Lonchura striata: one gene and its partner. The protein of the gene in region 1 binds, or shares a complex with, the protein of each later gene. Links are inferred from orthologs where the notes say so. Each region holds a gene or a part of one and is shown on either strand. Other genes may lie near its edges.

Region 1 (9,816 bases):
GACTTATTTAAAGTCAAATATCTCAGCTCTGTGTGTGGACTGGCCTCTTGCACACTGGATGAATCTACTTTAAAACAAGTCTGCGCAGCAATATATGGGACCGTATAATTAAAGCAGCTTTTTTTAAATCCCAAGAAAAGCCCACAAATAGGCACAGAAATTTTGAAATAGTTCCATTTTCTCTGTTATGCTCAGGTTATTTTTTGCTGTATTTCCCTCCCCATGTAGCCCTCACGTACTCACACAGAGCCATTGCCTGGTCAGAATCTCCATTTGCCATTTTTGCTTGCAAGCAGCCAGCACTGCCAAAGGAGAAGCCCAAGCACTGTGACAGCCCTGCTGCACCCCCAGAGCAGCTGCTGCAGACAGCCACGGGAAAGCAAGGAAGGGCACTGCAATGCTGGGGACAGCACAAGCAGCTTTTGTTCTCTGCAGTTTCCTCTGGCACTTCCCTAACTCAATTTATTGCTCATAAACCCTCAAACTGAACCATTTCAAAGTCAGCTACTGAGATCAGCTTGCCCAGGCCATGCTCTCCAGTGAAAACTGTTTACTGATTCCTCTGTGTGCAAAGGAACATTTCCACTCACTAAAACTGAAATTGGATTAGGCCCTAATCAGGACCAAGCTAGCTGGAGCTAGCTCCCCCTCATCTCAAAGATAATGGAAAGGGAGGAGCCCACTGGTAGCAGCAAAAATGAAAATAAATGAATGTCTGAATGGATAAGTAAATAAATCAGTGCACTGTACACAGCCATGCAAAAGGGAAACAAATCTCGAGAGAGCAAAGCAGCATGCTCTAGGAAAACACAGCATGAAAGAGAAACAACTCAAACTCAGGGGAAAATAGATGGAAACAAAGAATAAAATTGTCGCCTCTTCACCCTGATTATAAAAGAGGCAGCATAAACACAGTGTCTGATCAGTTTTGTTGATTTTTGTGTACAGGCAAGAAGAGCATGTGATGGGGCTTGGTTTCACTCCCCTGAAACTCACAGAGGTGACTTGAAACACCAAGTATGGCAGTTTCAGCAGAGTAGTCAGATGAGTTCCAATTCTAGGCAGAGCATTCTCCCTTGTTCTTAATCTCCACAGAAATCAAATTACATTTAACAAAGGCCAGTACATGGCCTAGATTGTCTCTATCAATTTTTATGGGTCAGCAGAAGTAGGTATATATCTGTTGTTGGCCACCAGCTACTGAAATGCTGAAATGGATCAGTGACACCCAAGCATCGCTCAGTGGGGCTACAACGACCCAAGAACCACACCAAGGCTCTCCTAAGTCTGTTTGCAAAGTCAAAGATCCAAAACTTTCAGAAATAAATGTACAACAAGACCACCTAGACCTGCTAGAGGTATATATCCAACCAGACAAGGCTCAAAAGCATAACGTTTCTAGTAAGAATGCTCGAGACGTGGAACTGATTTAAGCTGCTTCACCCCAAAATTAAAGCTAATGCCCCCAAGCAGAGTCTGAATTTGCAGAGTCACTGGGCACAGGAATACAAAGCCTCATGGTTTGGGCCCACTGCTCTCAACTAGTTTGTGAGTGCACTTGAGTCCTTTAACTTAAATCCATTTTTCTAGATTAACTACAACCATGTCCAACTCCAAGGCTGGCTATATAGCCACCAAATTTAGAAATACATCTGGATGAATCAAAACAATAGGGTTTTCACAGGAGTGGCATGACTTCTTAAAAAAGTCTGTATTGCTGGTTTCTAACAAAAAAATTACCTTGGAAAAATAGAGTTCCTTTCAGCTATTTCAATATATGGTTGGGATAGTGGATGCTAGCTTTATGTTGATATGCAAAGAACCCAAATTTGAAGTGTGGCAAGCACATTTCTCTCCCTCTCAGGATTTTTCATAGAGGTACACAGAGAGAAATGGAGAAAACAATTTCTATTTCTGCTTCTTGTTTTTCCTATGTGAAATATGTTTGGAGAATTGTTTACCTGGAGTGAGTGCTTAGTTGGATTCTGGTGAGGATTGTTTGAGCCTGATGGTCAATCCAACCCACCTGGGGCTGGACTCTCAGAGAGGGTCACGAGTTGTGGGGGAGTTAGAGTCAGAGAAAGTAGTATGTAGTTTTAGTATCCTCCTTTTATATAGTATATTAATTTATTTTAGCATAGTTATAATAAAGAAATAATTCAGCCTTCTGAATTGAGTCAGACATCATCATTTCTTCCCATTGGGTTCGCCTGCGTTTACAATATTGAAGGGATAACCTACGAGCAAACTGGACACACTGGAGCATACAGCAGAGCCCCACTTCCACCACCCCCAGCTGGAAAGAAGTCTGTCCTGCCAATCTCAGACAGCATCTGAAGAAATGCCAACAACTTCTTTGCAACACTGCTCATCCAGTCTTTAACAGAACTTCACCAACCCTCGCTGCAAGTCACTCACACCACCACAGCCACCTGAAAAACACAGGCAAGCTGGGATGGGGGCATCCAGTGGGAGAGGGTAGGAGAGCTGCCTTTGCTCCAGGGCACACAGCAGCAACAATGTGCTGAAAATTCATCCCCAACCCTGCTTGCCAGCAAAGTATCTATGCCAACACCATATGCTAAGAGCTGACACTACACTGGAAGCTCTGGTACTTTAAGCAGCTGCCCTGAATGACAATCTCTGCTTACCAGTTAAAAAAGATGTGAAACTCACTCTTTCTGTGCCTACATGTGTCTCTAAAGAGGACAAGAACAGCCTGTGGTGTGAGAGAAGCACAGACACAATCTCACCGGCCTTCATCACCCAGCCAGTCCTTCCTGCAGGATCATCCCTGCACTTGTCTGACTTTGCGTTTGCTCTTTTTACCTCAGCATGTTTGACCTTAAATCCATTATTTACGTTACCTAATCAAGGATGATCTAGTGAATGCTATTCAAGCAGCATGCTGCCATTACTTGAGGAAAGAGCCAGCAGAGTCTCCCTTGAGCACCCAGCAGGTTTCCTACCCTGGCCTGCCCAACTCTGAGCCAGGCCCTCCTCAGGAATTATAAGGGGCCTTGAGTTTTCTGCTGTAACACAGTTCAAAGACAACAGCACACCCACATTTTTGGAGCAGCTTCTGACCAAAGGAATCAACCACTCAGTGAAAAGTATTCAAGGTCAGATAAAGTTGGGAATTAAAAAAAAAAAAAAAAAAAAAAAAGGAAAAAAGCAAGTAGTCTGATCCACACTTTATGAGACATTTTAATTCCATAAGAAGAACGTCATCAGAGAGGAAGAATCAAAACCACATTTCTAAAATAACTCCTTACACAGAGAAGGTCTGTGGGGTGCCTGAAAACAGCTCTGCAGTACCACCACTCTCTTGACCAGAATGGTAAATTTTATCCCTTTGGGATAGTTCAAAGAGGTATTCTTGTATGAAATACAAAACACCAAGGTGTGCCATATCATTCATGTATTTAATTAATCTTTTGGGGGTTCAGGCATGCACCTCACCTCTCACATTCAATTTCTCCTACACAAATACACTCTCAGAGCAAGCAGTCCCTGTTGAAGGGACTGTCTGGTTTGATTTGCCCTGATGCAGTCACTGCTGTCCCACCACTCCTGAGTGGGAGGGCTCTACAAATAAGGTGACCTATCCATGTCCAAACAAAAAGTCTGTTTCCTTTCCTTCCTTGCAGAGTGCTAGACTGGGGATAATTCTGGAGCATTTAACTAAGTGGCTCAAGGATCCAGATGGCATGGCTTTCCTACCAACACTCTTTGCCTGTGCAAGCCTTTTGAAAGTAGTATTTGGAGTTTGCCATGTTGTGCTGCCCTGCTCAATTCCAGTGGCCTCTGTCATCCCTTCTGCCCTTTAAGACCTGTTTTCTGTCATTTTTTTTCAGATTTATGCACCAGGTCAAGGCGGAGCAACGAAAACAATGCATTGCTAGGAGTGAAAATAACCATTTCCACATCTCAAGTTGCAGGCTTTGCCATCAAGATGCACAGGACGGTAACTGTTTCCAGGCAGAAGCTGATGAGATACTAACACACAAGACTAAAAAGATTAGAAAAATGTCTGATTAAAGAGCATATGAGAGTCACGCTGCGCATCGCTGCTGACTGCAGGGCTTCTGAACGACTGCCAGAAGAACATAATCCAAAGGTGCAGTGTCACCGAAAAGCGCAGCTGAATATCAGAGCGCTCATGTCCTCGGAGCCGTTTTTCCTCAAGGAGCGGGACGGCGCGCCCGAAGGCGATAACCGCGCCGCCGCACCGCGCTGCCCCGGCCGCGGCGCATCCCGGCCGCGCCGCCGGAGCGCGGAGCGCGGAGCCGGGCGGGAGGGGCGGCGCGGCGGCTCCCGCGGGCCCGGGCCGCCGGCACCGGGCTCGCCGGCGGCGGGAGCGGCCCCGCGCCCGCCGGGATGCGGCCCCGCCGGGGCAGCGGCGCCCGCGCTCCCGCTGCTCCCACGGAACAGAGCCCCCGCTGCCCCGGCCGAGCCCCCGCTGCCCCGCCGGCCCCCGCCCGGCCCGCCCCGCGGCCCCACCGCCCCGCGCAGCCCGGCCCCGCCGCCGCCCTACCTTCGTGTAGAGCTCGGAGGCTGCCATGGCGCAGGGCGCGGGCGGGCGGCCCCTCTGCGGCAGCCCGGCGGCGGGAGGCGGAGGCGGGCGGGGGGTGGAGGAGGAGGAGGAGAGGAGGAGGAGGAGGATGCTCAGGCGGCGGCCCGCGCCATGTTGCTGCTACCTGGCGGGCTCTGTGCATTGTGGGAGCGGCGGCGGGGCCGGGCCGGGCCGGGCCGGGCCGGGCGGGCGGCGCGCTGCCTCCCACCGGCGGGCGGGACCGCTCCCGGACCCCTGCGCGAGCCGTCAGTGGGCTGCGCGCCCCCCGCGCTATGCCAGAACCGGTATTCCTCCTCTCCCTTACCATCCTTTTTTAAAATTATTATTCATTTTATTCTTTCTCTCCTACACTGAACAAATTACTCGTTATGTCATCAGGGATAGTTCTGATCTTCTCTGGTCCCCAGCCCGTGCCCTGCTCGAGGCGCGGAGGAGGCTCCGCACCGCGGGCACCACCAGGCGCAGGGAACCCTCCAGTCCCGTCTTTTCACGGGCACCGATTCTAATCCCATCCTTCAAATTATTTACAGCTTGATTGTATTTGTCATTCAAACCGTTACTGAAGGCACTGAAAGGAAATGGGCCCAAACCAGTTCCTTCCGTAATTAAGCCCATTCTCACCAAGACATGGAGGTACACATCGTTGAGAAGTTTAACATCCATGACAAAGGGGAATGAAAAGCATAGTCCGTGCTTCAGCAAGGTCTCAAGATGACAACCGACTCCTTTATGATTTGTTTATGACTGTTTTGTACAGCTCAGGTTATGTCAAGAGTTCTTTTGACAGCAAAACTGAAGCTATTCTCTCTTTCTCTGTTTTTGTTTTCCACCTTGGAAATGCATCCTACTACTCCTAGTCCAAAATACAAACCAAGTTTAACATAGGCAAGTTTGCCACACTCTCCACCAAACTGCTTTTGACTATCTATCCTCTCTCAGAATTCAGCTGTTTAGCTAACAGCTGTGTATTCAGTGGGCAGTATCTGCACTGCCCCTGAAACCCGCAACTACCAAAGAAACAGACAAACCTGTTTACAGAGAAACTGAACCATGAAAGCAATGGGTCAGAAATCACTCATCAATTTAGTAACAGAGAGAAAACACTACCCTGACTCCCAAAACAAACACTCCCAATAAATGCTTATCTGGACTTTACTGCTGCTATCTAAAAAGGAGATGGAGAAAGCAGCAAGCACAAACAGAAAATAGCCAAGATGAAAATAACGTAGCTTACCCAAAATTGTTTGGATTAGGTGCAGACGTATGGCCTTCACAGCTAGGAAACTAAGGTTAGCATATAGAGATTTGTAGAAACACCTGATTTTGCTGGGAGAGTTCAAAATAATGTGAACAGAATTTAAAAATATATTCCTTCCCAGGTTCTGTCAGAACGTCCAGGCTCATCAGCCATGACTGCTGTTGCTGTCCCAAACCAGGATGCTCACTCCAGCAGAACTGGACAGTCACTCTCAGTGTTACTAAAAGCCCAGAATGGGCTCCTGGGAGCTGCTGTCCAGATCAGGGGTGAGGTTTTGGCTAAGCAGTTTTCACAGCTGCTCTTCATCCATCTGCCAAGGCAAACCAGAGAGATCTGTACTAAAGCTGCCAGTCATCTTTCAGGTGCAACGCTGGAACTGCAAACAGAAATTTCAGTTTTGTTTTCAGAAAGGACCTGGACCTCCTCTTGGTGTGATGCTTCACATCGGATTTTTTGAACCCTTTCCTCACAATATTTATGCTAAATTCTTAAATTCTAAGACACTCATTTCAGGAGTTTGCTTGGACTGTGGATTACTGATCTCAGTCACTCACAGCTGGAGCTCATGAGCCAAATGTAATTATGAGCCACAGCAAAAAATAGATATGAGTCCAAAATATGCTATGATTTGACACAATTTGCATAAACCAGGATTTCAAATCTGCCATTAAGGACAGGAATTGAGGGCATTGAAAGTTGCCAAGAAACAACCTGTTTGTAATGTATCCAGACCGACTACTTTAAGATGCATCTCTTGCATCAAATATTTGCTGGCAAGATTTTGAAAGACCTCACCTCTTACCTTGCACACAACATCTTTTTGAAAAGATGGCATTTTTTTTTCAGAGCATAGATCCCAAGGTGTTCCAGATAACAATGTATAAATGATGGAACTGACACAGTCCCCCCATACAATTTTATACTGAATTTTTATGCAATTTTTTTTCAGCAGTTAAGAAGCATTTGTCCTATCCTTTTTCTTACATCTGTGTTCCGTTCATATCTGTGACCTGTTCAACTCTGGCAGATAAATTCCCTTCTCACACAGGACCTCCTATTCTGCTGTCACACTGTACAATGAGTGAGCAGAGAGTTCTCTGCCAAGGCCATATTCTCACACCTCAAGGCCCAGGCCTGGGGATTTCAGCTGTAGGAAACAAACAGGTCTGGTTCCAGCCAGTACTGAGGGAACAGTTAAGAACTCTGAAATGTAATACAAGAGATATGTAGGAAGAGAGACAATCATGTAGCATGCAAGTATGCAGAGCACAGAGGGTGCTGCATAACCTTGGGGACTGAGCTAACTGTGTAAATAACACCCCATGGATCTGGAAGCTGTGCACAGATCAGCACCAAGCCTCGGGCTGACTGGGAAAGTAGTGGGACTTTTTTCCAGCATTGTGGTTTTTCGAATTGTTGCCATATTTAGGCCAACAGTCTAAAGCAATGCAAACTTCTTTGCACCAAGCTGGTTCCCAGACATCCCCTTCATTCAGTGCAAGGGACCCAAACAATCATCTGTTACGGAGTTTTCAAACAATAAGCTTTAATTGCCTTAATAGAAAAATAAGCACTGAAATATATATAAATGTGATTACATTAAAGTAATTCTGCAGTCTAACATACTAGAAACCAAAGCCCAGTCATATTTTTAATGATACAGAGTAGCAAGATTTAGAGTTTAGAAATTTTCCACAGAGAATACCGAAGTATCCTGTATTGTTTAGGAAACCACAGTAAAGATGAGACAAACCTCCATGGTGCAATAAAAACTAAGTAAATCGATTTATTCTGTATACTATACAACGTGTAAGTTTGTAAAGAACAATTGACACTTTTATCACCTTAACATCTTGACTGGGTGTAAATATGTCCAACAAAATGTACTCCTGTGGCCTTTACACAAACACTGTCCTACTACATCAAGAACAATGAGAGGGAAGCCTTTGGTGTTACAGATTTGGGGACATATCTGTGAAGTTGTAATTAATCCACTTAACTATCTCAAATAAAATGTTGGTGCTATCTGCTATAACAAGCCTACATGAGTACTACTCTAACAACTAAACACTGTCTATCTTTAAAGGCAAGATATGAAAGGGACTGCCAGTCTACAGTGTGGACAGGTTTTCTTTGAAAAAGGCAATTATCAAATGGTAAAACTCATATAATACATTATGTACATCAGTTTGGATAGCTGAGTTATCTTGCTGGAGTAAGCTGAAAGTAAGCATCAATCTGCAGTCATGTTCCATTTACTGTTAAGTGACTACTGGACTTCAGTTTTATACAGTGTACAGAATCAAAATAGCTGTGCCTGCTGCTGAGGTCTGTCAGATGTGAAGGCTCATAATCAGTCACTGACATAGTTAGTATTACAGTACTTCAAATATACACATGGAGAATATATTCATAGCTGAATCTGTAGTAATCTTAGGAACTGCAAGTCACTGAGTGAGCATTGGAAGAGCTTGTGTTGTCCAACCAGCAGGACAAGCTGAGTTGTAGCTAAGTGAGTGGAATGTTTAAATTTAAATGGCTATCTTTTTAAACCTTCCCAAACATCAAGAGAACTCACCTTAGGGGAGCTACAGAATAGTGGCACCAGACAATACACAGCAAGTCACCTTAAGCTGTTCAACATTTGTTTCAGGCCCAATCCTATCATTAAGTTTTAATTTCATCTATACATAGAAAAATAAAGAAGGATTTTTCACATTAGAACAAACATTTATGAAAAGCAGCTTGCTTCAATATTTCCAGTTTCCTTGTTATTCTTCCAGCCTAAGTTTTTAAAGAAGTCGAGTAGGTCCATTTCTTCAAACTGTTCTGCAAAATACTAGTATTTTTAATACTAGTGGAGGGTAAGAAATAAGGACAGGCTTGACAAAGCCTATCTAACTACTAAAACAGGGCTATACAGACTTGAAAATAATCAGGTCAGCAATTTTGAAATTCTCTGGAACTGCTTCTCTGAATCAAAAACATTACGTAGACACTGTATGTTCTGATCAAAACAGGACCAAATAAAGACTATTCAATTTCTCTTGACCATTTTGTTTGCTTCTCAAAGAGAGCATTGCAGAAGATATGGGCCAGCACTGGTATTGACTAGCAGTCCTTTATACCCCAAGACCTTTCTGAATATCTCAGCACAAAGTACAAGCTTCTAAAAACATGCATCTTTAAGTGTTTTCTCTTGTGATACTCACATTGGTGCTAACAGGCTGTTTCCAAACTATTTTTTAAAGAAAAAGTGTTCTGTAAACTGATCTTTTTAGTTTCTTGTTCTCCCAAAGACTGTGAAGGCTGTGACTACCTATATGAAAATCAATTACATTGTGGATCATATTCCACTTTCAATATTCTGATTTCATTGAACTCAGATGTTTTAAGTACATCAGTTCACCTAATACCAACTATGTATTTTGTCTATCTAGTACTTACAACCTTCATCATAAGCATGAACTGGAGTTCAATCCTATTTTCTGATATGAAAAGTTACCTATTTCTCAGTAAGTCATTACAGAAATACCTTTCCAGATATTTATTTCCACAAAGCCAATGAGGGGCTGCTGTACAACAGAGAAAAGGAAATAATTTACTGCCTCTTCAGGAGTTCAAGAAAATAAAAAAGATACCCTTCTGCTTCCAGAAATCTAAAATAGCCCATAGCCAATTGCGCATCAAGCATTGGTGAGCCCAAATTTGGTGTTTGCCACGCAGGGAACTCTCCAGAACTGTACACTTAGTCATATTCCATGCCAACAGACAGAGCATTTCTACTTTAAAAGCTTAAACAACTGCTGAACAGAAAGGGCACTTGCCTGCAAATATAAGTACAAATTCCAAATTTATACTTGAATGCTGGATTTTGTTGTGAAACAAAATATACAACTGCAAAAGCATAAGGTTGAGTCAGGTGTAAATGTGTTTCACAAATTTCAGGTATACTATTTTTATTTTCAGTAGCGAGATTCTG
Region 2 (10,758 bases), on another chromosome or scaffold:
GCAGCGGGACAGCTCGAGGCAGGAGCTGGAGCTCAGGCGGCCGGCGCAGGCGTGTGGGATGCAGGGCAAGGAGCTGTATCCTGCGGAGGGACGGGCTCAGCGCCGCGGGGATGGGCACACGGTGACACAGCGCAGCGGGGAGGGGACCCGGGTACCTTTCTGCTCCACGGGCCGGAGCTTCCGCTCCTGCCTGATCTCCTCCAGGATCTTCTCATGGAGCGTCCTCTGCTTCTGGGGCAGCGGCCGCAGCCGCCGCTCTGATGCCTGCGGGATACACAGATGGGACCTCAGGTGTGGCCATGGCTCAGGGGTGGCACCCATGGGACCCACCAACACTGTCATGACAGGGAGGTGGCCCGGTGCTGGCACTCACCTGCTTCAGGGGGGGCCGGGAGCGGATGAAGTCGAGTATGAGCTCGTGGGCATCTTTCTTCACCCGGGGGGGGATGTCTCCATCCACCTGGGGAGGGAAGGGGGTCAGTGCCAGGCTGGAGAGTGGCAGGAGGGGCTGGCACGGTGGCCACGCTCACCATGACCTTGCGGAGTTTGTAGTTGCGGGCACGGATGTCCTGCATGAGCATCTCGAAGGGCGTGAGCTGGTACTCGGTGGGCAGAGGGTTGAACTGCTTCTCCTGCACCTTCTTCAGCTTCACACCGTGCCGCAGCTCCCGCATCAGCTGCACCCACAGCCGGGCCTGGGGGGACACACGGACACGGTGTCAGCACCCACCCGTGCCCAGCTCAGCCCTGTGCCCAGCTCAGCCCCGTGCCCAGCTCATTCCCCGTGCCCAGCTCAGCCTCCGTGCCCAGCTCAGCCTCCGTGCCCAGCACAGCCCCGTGCCCAGCTCAGCCCTGTTCCCAGCTCAGCCCCATGCCCAGCCACACTGCTGTACCCAGTCTGTGTTGCGCAGGTTGCCCAGATCTGCCACCGGCCGCTCCTCTTCTTCCTCATCCTCCTTCAGCTTCTGCAGTAGCTGTTGGGACACAAGATGCTGTCACCTTGTCCTGGTGGCACTGAAGGTGCAGCCAGGACTGTGCCATGGGGCTGCAGCACTGAGGTGCACCCCAATTCCTGGTTCCCAGGCAGCACAGCAGTCTGGGAGAGGCTGTACGGCCAAGCACCGGCACCAGCAGCCCTGGTTGGCATGGGCAGAGGGAGCAGTGCAGCCTCCCCCATTCCTTTGTCACTGCAGGTGGTTTCCTCGGCAGGGCCCTGGTGCCAGCAGCCCACGCTCACCTCCTTGGCATCGCGGATCTTGGCGAGGAAGGCCATGAGCTCCACGGTCTCTGCGAAGAGGGCGCGGCACACAGCCTGGTAGTGCGCCGGGGCGCCGGCGGGGTCGGCCAGGCGGGCGGCGCAGCAGCGCATGGCCTGGCCGAAGGTGCGCACCGAGCGAGGCGGCCCCTCGCCCCCCTCCTCCTCCTCATCCTGCCCCCCGTAGCCCTCGTCGGCCGTGGCGCAGCCGCTGTCCTCGGAGTCGCTGTTGGTCATCAGGTCGATGAGCTGCTCCAGGCGCGGGCTCAGCTCCCGCTCCTCGTTCTCGTCCAGCCCCCAGTCCAGCGCCCGGTACACGGCAAAGCCCAGCGACTGCACCATCTGCGGGGGACAGCACCGGCTGGGGCAGCGTGCACCCGGCACCAGCTGGCCCCAGCCCCTCCTTGGTGCTGGTCCCGTCCCAGGACCTGTGACCCCCGGGCGAGGGGGGCAGGTGCTGTGCCCAGCCCACCCCGGGCCGTGATGGCAGATGGGGCAGGTCACCGGCCCCCACGTACCTGGGCTTCGGCCGAGGGCGTCAGCAGCACGGGCAGGTCTGGGGAAGGAGGGGAGAGTCACCCACGGTCCGTGCTGAGTACCCCACCCCGCATCACCCAGGGACGTGGTACCCACCCACTCCGGCCGTGGGGTGCCCACGCTGAGCTGCTCACACCCCCCGCTGCTCCTCCCCCCTTCCCTGGCTCATCTCGTATTTTCCTGGTCCCAGGGCATGGCTCCAAGGCACAGTGGGCACCTGCACGTTGAGCCCTGCTACCAGACAGTGCTGGCACAGCCTCCCAAGGCACCCATGTACCCCTCACTGCGAGGGCTGGAGGGAGCTGAGAGCTCTGCATCCATGGGGAGATGCCCCCCTGTGGGATGTGGGCACTGGCAGTGTGGACACCAGGAGTGTGGGCACCAGCAGCACAGGCACCGGCAGTGTGGGGCCTGGCAGCCACAGCTGGAGCATGGCACACACGGGGAGCCCAGGACACGCTTGTGGGCAGCTTCCCACGGGAGCTGGAGCCCAGGACACGCTTGTGGGCAGCTTCCCACGGGAGCCCTCCTGGCAGCTGCAGGAAAAGGAACACAAATGGCCTCTGCAGTGTCCCCAGGGCTCCCGGCTCTGCTTCCCTCATCATTAGCTCTGCATTGAGCTGATCAATGCGGCAGCCACCAGGATGTGCCAGCCGTGTGCCAGCCATGTGCCAGCCGTGTGCTAGCTTTGTGCAAGCCAGGAATGGACAGGAAAGGCAGCACAAGTGGTGGCCCTGCCATGGTACCACACAGAAGCCCATCAAAAACCATGTCCTGAACTGTGCCCAGCTCCCACTGCAGTACCAGCCCCTGGTGGGTCCCAGCAGCTCTCACCAGTCACTGGGGCGCAGCTGAGGGGGGAATTCCCATAGAATGGGGGACTGGAGCGGTTCCAGAGGGTGCTGCTGGCTCACCCAGCCCAGATCCAGCCCCGTGCCCTGGTAGAGCTGCAAAGCCACGTGCCAGGCTGGTGCCACCACCTGCAGTGTCACCCAGAGGCACCCAGAGCCCTCCCAGCCTCAGGATTCACTGTGAAGGCTTCACTGGTTCATCCCTGGGGAAACAGCTCAGGCTGGCACAGGAGCAACCCGGGAGCAGGAGGCGGCACAGTGGCACTGATAGGTGGCACTGGCAGATGACACCAGCAGGTGACACCGGCAGGTGACACTGGCTCCAGCCCTGCAGTGGCTCAGGACAGGGTGTGGGGCCGTTCCCGTGCAGGACCAGTGGAGCCGGTGTGGCCACGCCGTGCCCAGCCACCATGGGCACGTGCCATGCCTGTGCGTGTCCCTGCCCTGGGCATGGAGCCACCTGATGCACCCGTGTCTGCTCAGCCACTGGCACCAAGGACACACGGTGACCTCGCAGTGTCCCTGCCCAATGTGAGCGAGGCCCCACAGCGACCCCACGACACCAGGTGCCATCCCCGGTGACCTCGCTGTGGGGCGAGACGGGTGGAGGTGCTGGCCATGCTCCAAGTGCTCCTCGTGGCACCCAGCCACCCGGTGGCACCGCTGGCAGCCAGCCTGGTGACACTCTGGAACCGTCACAGCCATACCTGGCAGTGCAAGGCACCTGTGGAAGGACGGCTGGGAGGCCAAAGGTTGGGATGGCGCTGTCCCGTGTGCCACTCCCGGGGCCTGGAGTGGGGCACAAGATCCCCTGCGGTGCAGAGGTGGGTGACGGGCGCCCATGGATGTGCTGTGTGGGTGCCCACGTCCATCTGTCCTTGCTGCGTGTCCTGCAGCCCCACGGTGGTTCCAGGACCACACAAACACCCCCACACCGACTCCAGCCTCCCTGGGTCACCCCGTGCTAGTGACCTGGTTGGTGCCAGTGCGGGTATCAGTGCCACACCAGTGCCAGGCCCCCGGGTCACCAGCCCACCCCCTCCCCCATGCCCCGGGCCACCCCTTGCCCCGATAGATACCGGCAGTGCGGCTGGCACTCCCCTCGCCCGGGCTGGGCATGGGGCTCACCCTCATCCCTGCCGGTGCCACCTTCCTGCTCCCGGTGCTGGCACCGGCCCTTTTCCCTGTCCTCACAGCTTCTCTGATGACCCCCTGCACTGCTCCCCTGCTGCCGGTGCCCCGATGCCTGCCCCACATCTCCGGTGCCACTTCTGCCCGTCTGCCGCTCCGGTACCGGTTCTTCCCCGCCGCTGCCGGTCCTTCCCGCTGGGGCCTCTGCGGGTCCCCCCCCCGCTACCGATCCCCCCGGTCCCTCCGCGTCCCCGACGCCGGTGCAGCACCCCCTGCCGGTGCCGGTAAGTCCCGGTGCCGGTAAGTCCCATGTCCCCGCTCTTTGTGCTGGTAAGTCCCGGCGCCCCGGATCCCGGTGCCGAGAAGTCCCGGTGCCAGTGAGCACCGTAGGCTGCTCGCGGTGCCAGCAAGCACCGGCGCGGGTAAATCCCAGAGCCTCGCTCCTTGCACCGGCAAGCCCCGGTTCCGGTAAGTCCCGATATCCCGGATTCCGGTGTTAGCTAGCCCTGGTGCCGGTAAGCTCTGGTGCCCCCGTACCGGTAAGTCCCATTTCCCCGTTCCTTGCGCTGCTAAGCTCCGGAGCAGGAAAGCCCCGGTGCCGGATCCCAGTGCCGGTAAGCTCCGGTGCCCCGCTCCCGGCGCCTTGCTTTCGGTGCCGGTGAGCCCCGGTGCCCCGCTCCCAGCGTCGGTAAGCTCCGATAAGCCCCCGTGCGTTCCGGTGTTCCGGGGGTCTGTGCCGGTAAGCCCCGCTAAACCTCGGTAAACCCCGGTGCTCCGCTCCCGCGGTGCCGATAATGCCCAGAGCCGGCAAACACTGGTGCCCCGCTCCCGCTGCCTGTAAGCCCCGGTGCCCCGGTGCCAGCCGGTAAGCCCCAGCAAGTCCTGATGCCCGTAAGCCCGGTAAACCCCGGTAAGCCCCGCTTGGCGGTGCCGTCCCGTCCTCCCCCCGCGCGGGCGCCGCCCGCTCCCGCCCCCCCCCCCCGTCGGCGGCGGCCCTCACCGTGCGGCGGGGCGGGCAGGCGGAGGGAGCCGTCGGCGCGGAGGCGGATGTCGGCGGTGCGGAGCGGCGCGGGGGCGACGGGGGCGGCGGCGGCGGCGCGGCAGCCCTGGAAGCAGAGCGCCCAGGCCTGCTCCTCGTTCAGCGGCTGCTCGTAGCACTTCAGCACCTCCTCCAGGGACAGCTCCCGCGGCGGCCCCGCGCCCGCCCGCGCCATCGCCCCATCCCGCACCGCCGAGCGCGGGCGGGGCGCGCCGGGCGGGGGAGACGGGGCGGGGCCGCGCGGGGCCACGCCCCGACAAGCCACGCCCACCCCGGGCCCGTCCGCACCGCTGGGTGTGAGGAGGGGCGGGGCGGTGAGAGAGGCCACGCCCCCCGCCCCGGCACCGGCACCAGCACCGGCATCGGCACCGGCACCGGCACCGACACCGGCCCCACCGCAGGCACCTGCCGAGGCTTGGGACGGCGCAGGATGTACAGGGCCGGGCGGTTCGGGACGGTACGGTACGGTAACGGGAGGGTACGGTGGGGCACGGCGCGGTGAGCTCGGTACAGTCTGTCACGGCACGGTGTGGCGTGGCACGGTATGGCACGGCTCGGTACTGTGGGATATGGCTCGGGACTGTCTGGCACAGCTTGGGGCAGAATGGGATGGGGCAGTAGGGTGTGGCGTGGTACAGTATGGTACGGCTCAGGATGGCACAGCTTGGCATGGCACGACATAGCTCGGCTGTGCATGGCTCAGCAGGGCACGTCAGAGCTCAGCAGCGTGGCTCAGAGCAGCACAGAACAGCTTGGTACCGATGGCATGGCTTGGCATGGCATGGCACGGTACAGCCCAGTGTGGCACGGCACGGCACAGCACAGCACAGCTGCAGAGCTGGGAGCAGGGAGTGGTTACGCTGGGTCAGCTGGGTGCAGAGTGCAGGGTTCAGGGCACACAGCTGGGCACAGGGCACAGGCGTGGATTGCGGGGCGTGCGATGGGGGCAATGCCCAGCATGGGCACGGAGCAGCGCTGGGTGACACCCCCGAGGGACACGAGACACCCCCTGTGCCCCAAGAGGAGCAGGGTGGCCGTGGTCCTGGCTTGGCCCCAGCCCTGGCTCTTGCACCGTTGAGCCCCCATGTCACACGTGGGACAGCATGTGCAGGGACACGATGGCCTTGGCACCAGAGTCACCTGGGGACACAGGAGCAGGAGTCAGGGCAGGAGCAAGGATGCCAGTGCCCATGGGGACTCCTGCCACGAGGAACCTGCCTTGTGGGGTGCTGGGAGAGCCCTGGGGCACTCAGCTGGGATGAGGAGCTGGCACAGGGAAGGAGCCAGGCTGGGACAGGAAAACTTCCTGGAGGGAAGGACAAGAGTTCCAGGTGCCAGAGTGCGGTTTGGGCATGGCCAGGAGCAGCAGGAGCTGGGTGAAGGTGCCAGGATCTGCTGGAGTCTCTAGGCAGACAATATCCCATGGGAATATGGTGTGGGGCTGGCATCCCGCAGCCACTGGGAAAGTCTGACATGAGAGCAGGATCACCTTTGGGTCCCTTCAGACACACGGCAGGATTGTCCTGACAGAGCAGAAAGGACAACCAGTTCATGGGAAAGGTCAGAGGGAGCAAATGAACACTCTTGTCATGATGAGCTTCCCATTTCCATGATGGAAGGAGAATAAAACCCTATCTCAGCTCCATTAACCAATGAGCATAAACAGGGATCAATCCCAGAGCTGTGCTGGCAGGGCTGGGACAGGGACAGAGCTGACACATGGCTGCTGTTCTGTCCCACACGGCCAAAGAGCTGCTCCAGGGCTGGAGATGTCTGTCAAAGAGCCTAGGATGGAGCAGAAAAGCCTTTCAGTGCCAATCCCAGAAAACCTGAACAGTGCCAGCTCCATCTCTGGGGAAGAAACTGGGATATTGGAGCTGGGATACCAGCCCTGCGTGGTGCCCTGGGGTTTGAGAAAGGGGAGAAGGGATACGTGTGATCCAAGGTGTCCGTGCATCTCTGGGAACCTCAAATGCACCGTGGGCGGGTGGGACCGTGCTGCAGGGAGTCAGGAGCACGGTGCCAGCTGCATCTCCAGCCGGATCCGCACGGGATCCTGCCCAGCTGCAGCCCCCGGCGCGGCGCCGATAGCTGGGTCTGGATTGAGAGGTTTGGATGCCCGGTTCACCCCGGAACCAGCCGGGTTGGAGCCTGCTTGGAACCGGGAGCAGGGCCGTGCCGTGCCGTGCCAGCTTTCCAGCGCCTCCGGCCACAGCCGGAGCGGCACCGTCGGGGATGGGAGCGGGAGGACGTGCGGCGTTTGAAGGAAAAGCCACCCTGCAGGATTCACGGCAAGGCATTTGCATGACAAAGCACGGAGCCCTTTGCTTTGGGTAAATCTGTAATTAATACTGAATCGTTGTGTAATTAAAAGCTACCGGCATGGAAAACTCAAACAGAAGCCAAGCCTGTGTGTGGATGAGGGAAATAGAATTAAAGCCAGAAGAAACAGGGGGGAAAGAAAGATGAAGTGTTTGGGAAATGGTGTCAGAGCACTATGGGAGGGTTGGAATCCTGACTCTTGCAGTGTGGAAGCAGGATAAGGTGGGGAGCTGGGATGGAGAGCAGGCAGAGCCCTTCCCCAGCCACCTGCAGCAGGGCTGTGCCACTATTTCCTCGTGGGTAATCCATTCCCGTGGGTCTCAGCTCTCATATGCAAAAATAAATTCCTCCCAAAGCCACAGGAACCTGGGATGAGCGCACAGAGCACCTGTGGGGTGGATGTGCTCTCCTGCTTTCCCTCCATGCTGCAATAAACTGGGAACATGGAAGGAGGGAGCATTTTACTGGGCCATTTTCTGCTGCCGTATGCTGGCCAGAGTTTGAGGGGGGACACTCTGAGAGACAGCCTGGGGACACTTGTGACCCTTGGGGGCATCAGGGGGGGACCTTGGGGACACCATGAGGACCTTAAGGTCACCCCTGGAAACTCCCTGAAGACCTTGAAGGCATTCCAAGGACAATGGGAACACCACTGGGGATGCTGGGAATAAACACTGTGAGTACTCTGGAATGCCGAGCTCACAGTTGGATGCCTGCTGGGCCCAGTCGTGATGGGGGATCCCAAAAGCTGGGGCTGCCCAGACCCCCCAGAATCTGGGGCTGACACAAAGGTGCAGATGGCACTGGGGGTTAAGGCGACTCGGGAATGTGACTCTGGCCAGGGTTCCCAGACTCGGTGGGATCCCGTGGCACTGTCCATGCTGGATCTGTGCTGGATCTGGATCTTCTCCTGGCTCCTGGCAGCATGTGCTGCTGACTCACACCAGCACTGCAATAAACCATCCACGGCCAACCCCAGCAGGAGCTGCTTCCTGGCGCTGGACACACCCCGAGGACTTCATCTTTCCATAGGGAATTGCCCCTGCTGCTCCCATCCATGGTGGTCGACAGCAGCGGTTCATCATCAGGAAGGATCGGATCCGAGGGAAAAATTCCTCTGTGAATTCTGCTCTGCTCCTGGTGAAACTTTGTGGCCATTCAGGACCTAAAGAGATCTGAGGAAAAAGAGGGAGAGGGCTTTTGGACAAGGGGTGGAGTGCCAGGGCAAGGGGAATGGCTTTGCACTGCCAGAGGGCAGGGTGAGATGGGATATTGGGAAGGAATTCCTGGCTGTGAGGGAGGTGAGGCCCTGGCACAGGGTGCCCAGAGCAGCTGTGGCTGCCCCTGGATCCCTGGAAGTTGGACAAGGCTTGGAGCAGCCTGGGACAGTGGGAGATATCCCTGCCATGGCAAGGGGTGAAACGAGATGAGCTTTAAGGTCCCTTGCAGCACAAACCATTCCCTTCCAATCCAAACCATTCCACAATTCCATTATTTATTCTCCCAGCAATGCTGGTGATTCTTCCCTTTGGGAATTCCAGCCACTCTTGTCCCCTTCCCTGGGTGGGATCAGGGTCAGCAGCTCAGACCTGAGAGGATCGGAGCTCCCCGTGTCCCACACACTCCGAGCTCACACCCCACACCCACAGCGGGTCCTGTTGCCGTGTCCCTCACACCGCACAGCCACAGCGGGTCTCCTCTCCGTGTCCCTCACACCGCACAGCCACAGCGGGTCCCCTCGCCGTGCCCGACCCCCCGTGTCTCCCCACGCCCTCCTCGTCCCCTCCCGCCGCCCTTCCCAACATGGCAGCGCCGCCTCAGCCACCACAGAGAGGGTGGCGGGGGCGGGACTACGCAGCGCTTCCAACCAATGGGCAGAGGCGGCGGGGTGGGCGCGGGCGGCCTCTGCTCCCTTCCAGCCAATGGGATCGGTGGGTTCGGCCGGCGGGAGCCAATGGCGGCGCGGGCTCTCGCGGCGGGAAGCGGCGGGCCGCGATGGCGGGCGCGGGCGGGAGGAGCTGGCGGGACCTGCTCGGTACGTGAGGGCTGAGGCGGGCCCGGGGCGAGCTCCGCGCCGGGCGCTCCCTGCGGGGACAGCGGAGGGGACAGGGGAGCGTGAATGTCCGCCCTCTGCCTTCCTGCACCCCTTCTCTCTATCTGCACACAGCCCTCCCTCTGCCCCCATGTCCCGTTCCATGCACCCCGCTCTGCCTTCCTCAGAGCCGCCGTGTCCCGGTACTCAACATCTGCCCTTGTACATCCCTCTCTGCTTTCCTCAGAGCCCTCGTGTCCCGGTACTCAACATCTGCCCTTGTACATCCCTCTCTGCTTTCCTCAAAGCCGCCGTGTCCCGGTACTCAACATCTGCACTTGTACACCCCCGGTACACAACATCTGCCTTTGTACCCTCCGCTCTGCTTTCCTCAGAGCCGCCGTGTCCCCATACACCCCCTCTCCCTGCCCTCATGTCTCCCGTATGTTTTCCTCACACCCCGCTCTGCCTTCATCCTCAGCAGCAGGAGCGGGAGGTGGTTTCGGGCTGTCTTGGGAACTCACTGCTCAATAAACCCAAACTTCTCAGCAGGGAGAACCAGGAAGAGGAAAAGCCCCTTTGGGAGCACAGCAGAGCTCCAGGGAGCGGCTCTGCGGCTGCTGGATCAGCACCAGAACCTGGCTGACCTCCTCCTGGAGGTAGGAATGGGACAGGGATGTTCCAGGGTGTCGTGGGCTGGCTGGGCAGCGGGAGAGCCCAGCTGGAGGTGGGTGCCACTGGCTGTGGAGTCAAGGTCCCAGGAACACAGTGTTCCATGGTACGTGGAGAGAAAAACCAACAGTGTAGGAGGAAGATGAAGCTGAAAGCTCCGTTTTGCAGAAATGGGATTGTTACCCCTTTTCCATCAATGTTGTACGGACTAAAAATGGTTAAGCATGGTTTGGGACAAAGGGAAATCCAGCACATTTTCCTTCAGATCAGAGCTGTCTTCTTGTGAATCTAGGGAAGACAATTCAGAAGGGACTTGGCTTTTCCCTGAATTACCAACCACACCTGGCTGCCCTGGCTGTCCTCATGACAGCCTTATCTTCTCATTCAGCTGCCTTCTCCCTCTCCTCACACACTGATTTTACAGTTACAACACATAATGAAAATATCTCCTGTAGTTCAGGATCTGGATTTCTCTAGAGAATATTTCCCGTTATAAAAAGAAAAAGGGGATTTAACTAGAAAATCAGCCAACATTTGGACAAGTTTCATCAAATATTTATGGCCACATGGCTTCACAGAAAGGACTTGAAAGGTAAGGATTATAAAAATTCTGCTCCTGGTGCTGCTGCTGAGCTGTTTGGTCCCTGGGGATGAGGAACTTTGACCTGTATCTCCTTTTTTATGCATAAACTGACAATAACTAAACACACACCTCTTGTAAGGTGAAATCTGTGCTTTTCCACTCCCACGTGGGAGCTTCGTGTAAATTTGTTGTCAGTTGCTCCAGCAGTGCAGGGATAGGTTTATGTATAGGGATAGGTGACAGACATCTAAGAGTTCTAAGGTTTTATTTGGTTTCCAGGTGGGAGATCCAACCAAGCCAGGTGTGCAGGATGGGGCAGAGCACCAGGGAGTGTCA

Evidence for each region. Proteins that work in one complex are often made in the same cells at the same time.
Region 2: the proteins of MYO5A (region 1) and SPIRE2 are in contact, whole or in part, in a crystal structure (PDB 5JCY), measured with the Homo sapiens proteins. The link is inferred for Lonchura striata from reciprocal best matches to the Homo sapiens genes MYO5A and SPIRE2. Residues at the interface, in NP_001369276.1 of Homo sapiens: Asp1551, Val1554, Arg1555, Thr1559, Ile1562, Asn1563, Lys1566, Ser1597, Gly1598, Leu1615, Thr1616, Asn1617, Phe1618, Asp1619, Leu1620, Ala1621, Glu1622, Tyr1623, Val1626, Asp1629, Leu1630, Gln1633; in NP_115827.1 of Homo sapiens: Arg404, Pro405, Arg406, Val407, Leu408, Leu409, Lys410, Ala411, Pro412, Thr413, Leu414, Met417, Glu418, Met420.

What each region holds. Positions count from the first base shown.
Region 1 is NC_134613.1:12,472,550-12,482,365, reverse strand, and holds the start of MYO5A (unconventional myosin-Va), read right to left. Parts: upstream 4,722-9,816; 5' UTR 4,565-4,721; coding exon 4,538-4,564; intron 1-4,537. UniProt on the Homo sapiens protein: Processive actin-based motor that can move in large steps approximating the 36-nm pseudo-repeat of the actin filament. Can hydrolyze ATP in the presence of actin, which is essential for its function as a motor protein. Involved in melanosome transport.
Region 2 is NC_134615.1:22,899,221-22,909,978, reverse strand, and holds the start of SPIRE2 (protein spire homolog 2), read right to left. Parts: upstream 5,005-10,758; 5' UTR 4,989-5,004; coding exon 4,775-4,988; intron 1,812-4,774; coding exon 1,774-1,811; intron 1,598-1,773; coding exon 1,238-1,597; intron 975-1,237; coding exon 894-974; intron 696-893; coding exon 531-695; intron 461-530; coding exon 374-460; intron 265-373; coding exon 156-264; intron 81-155; coding exon 1-80. UniProt on the Homo sapiens protein: Acts as an actin nucleation factor, remains associated with the slow-growing pointed end of the new filament.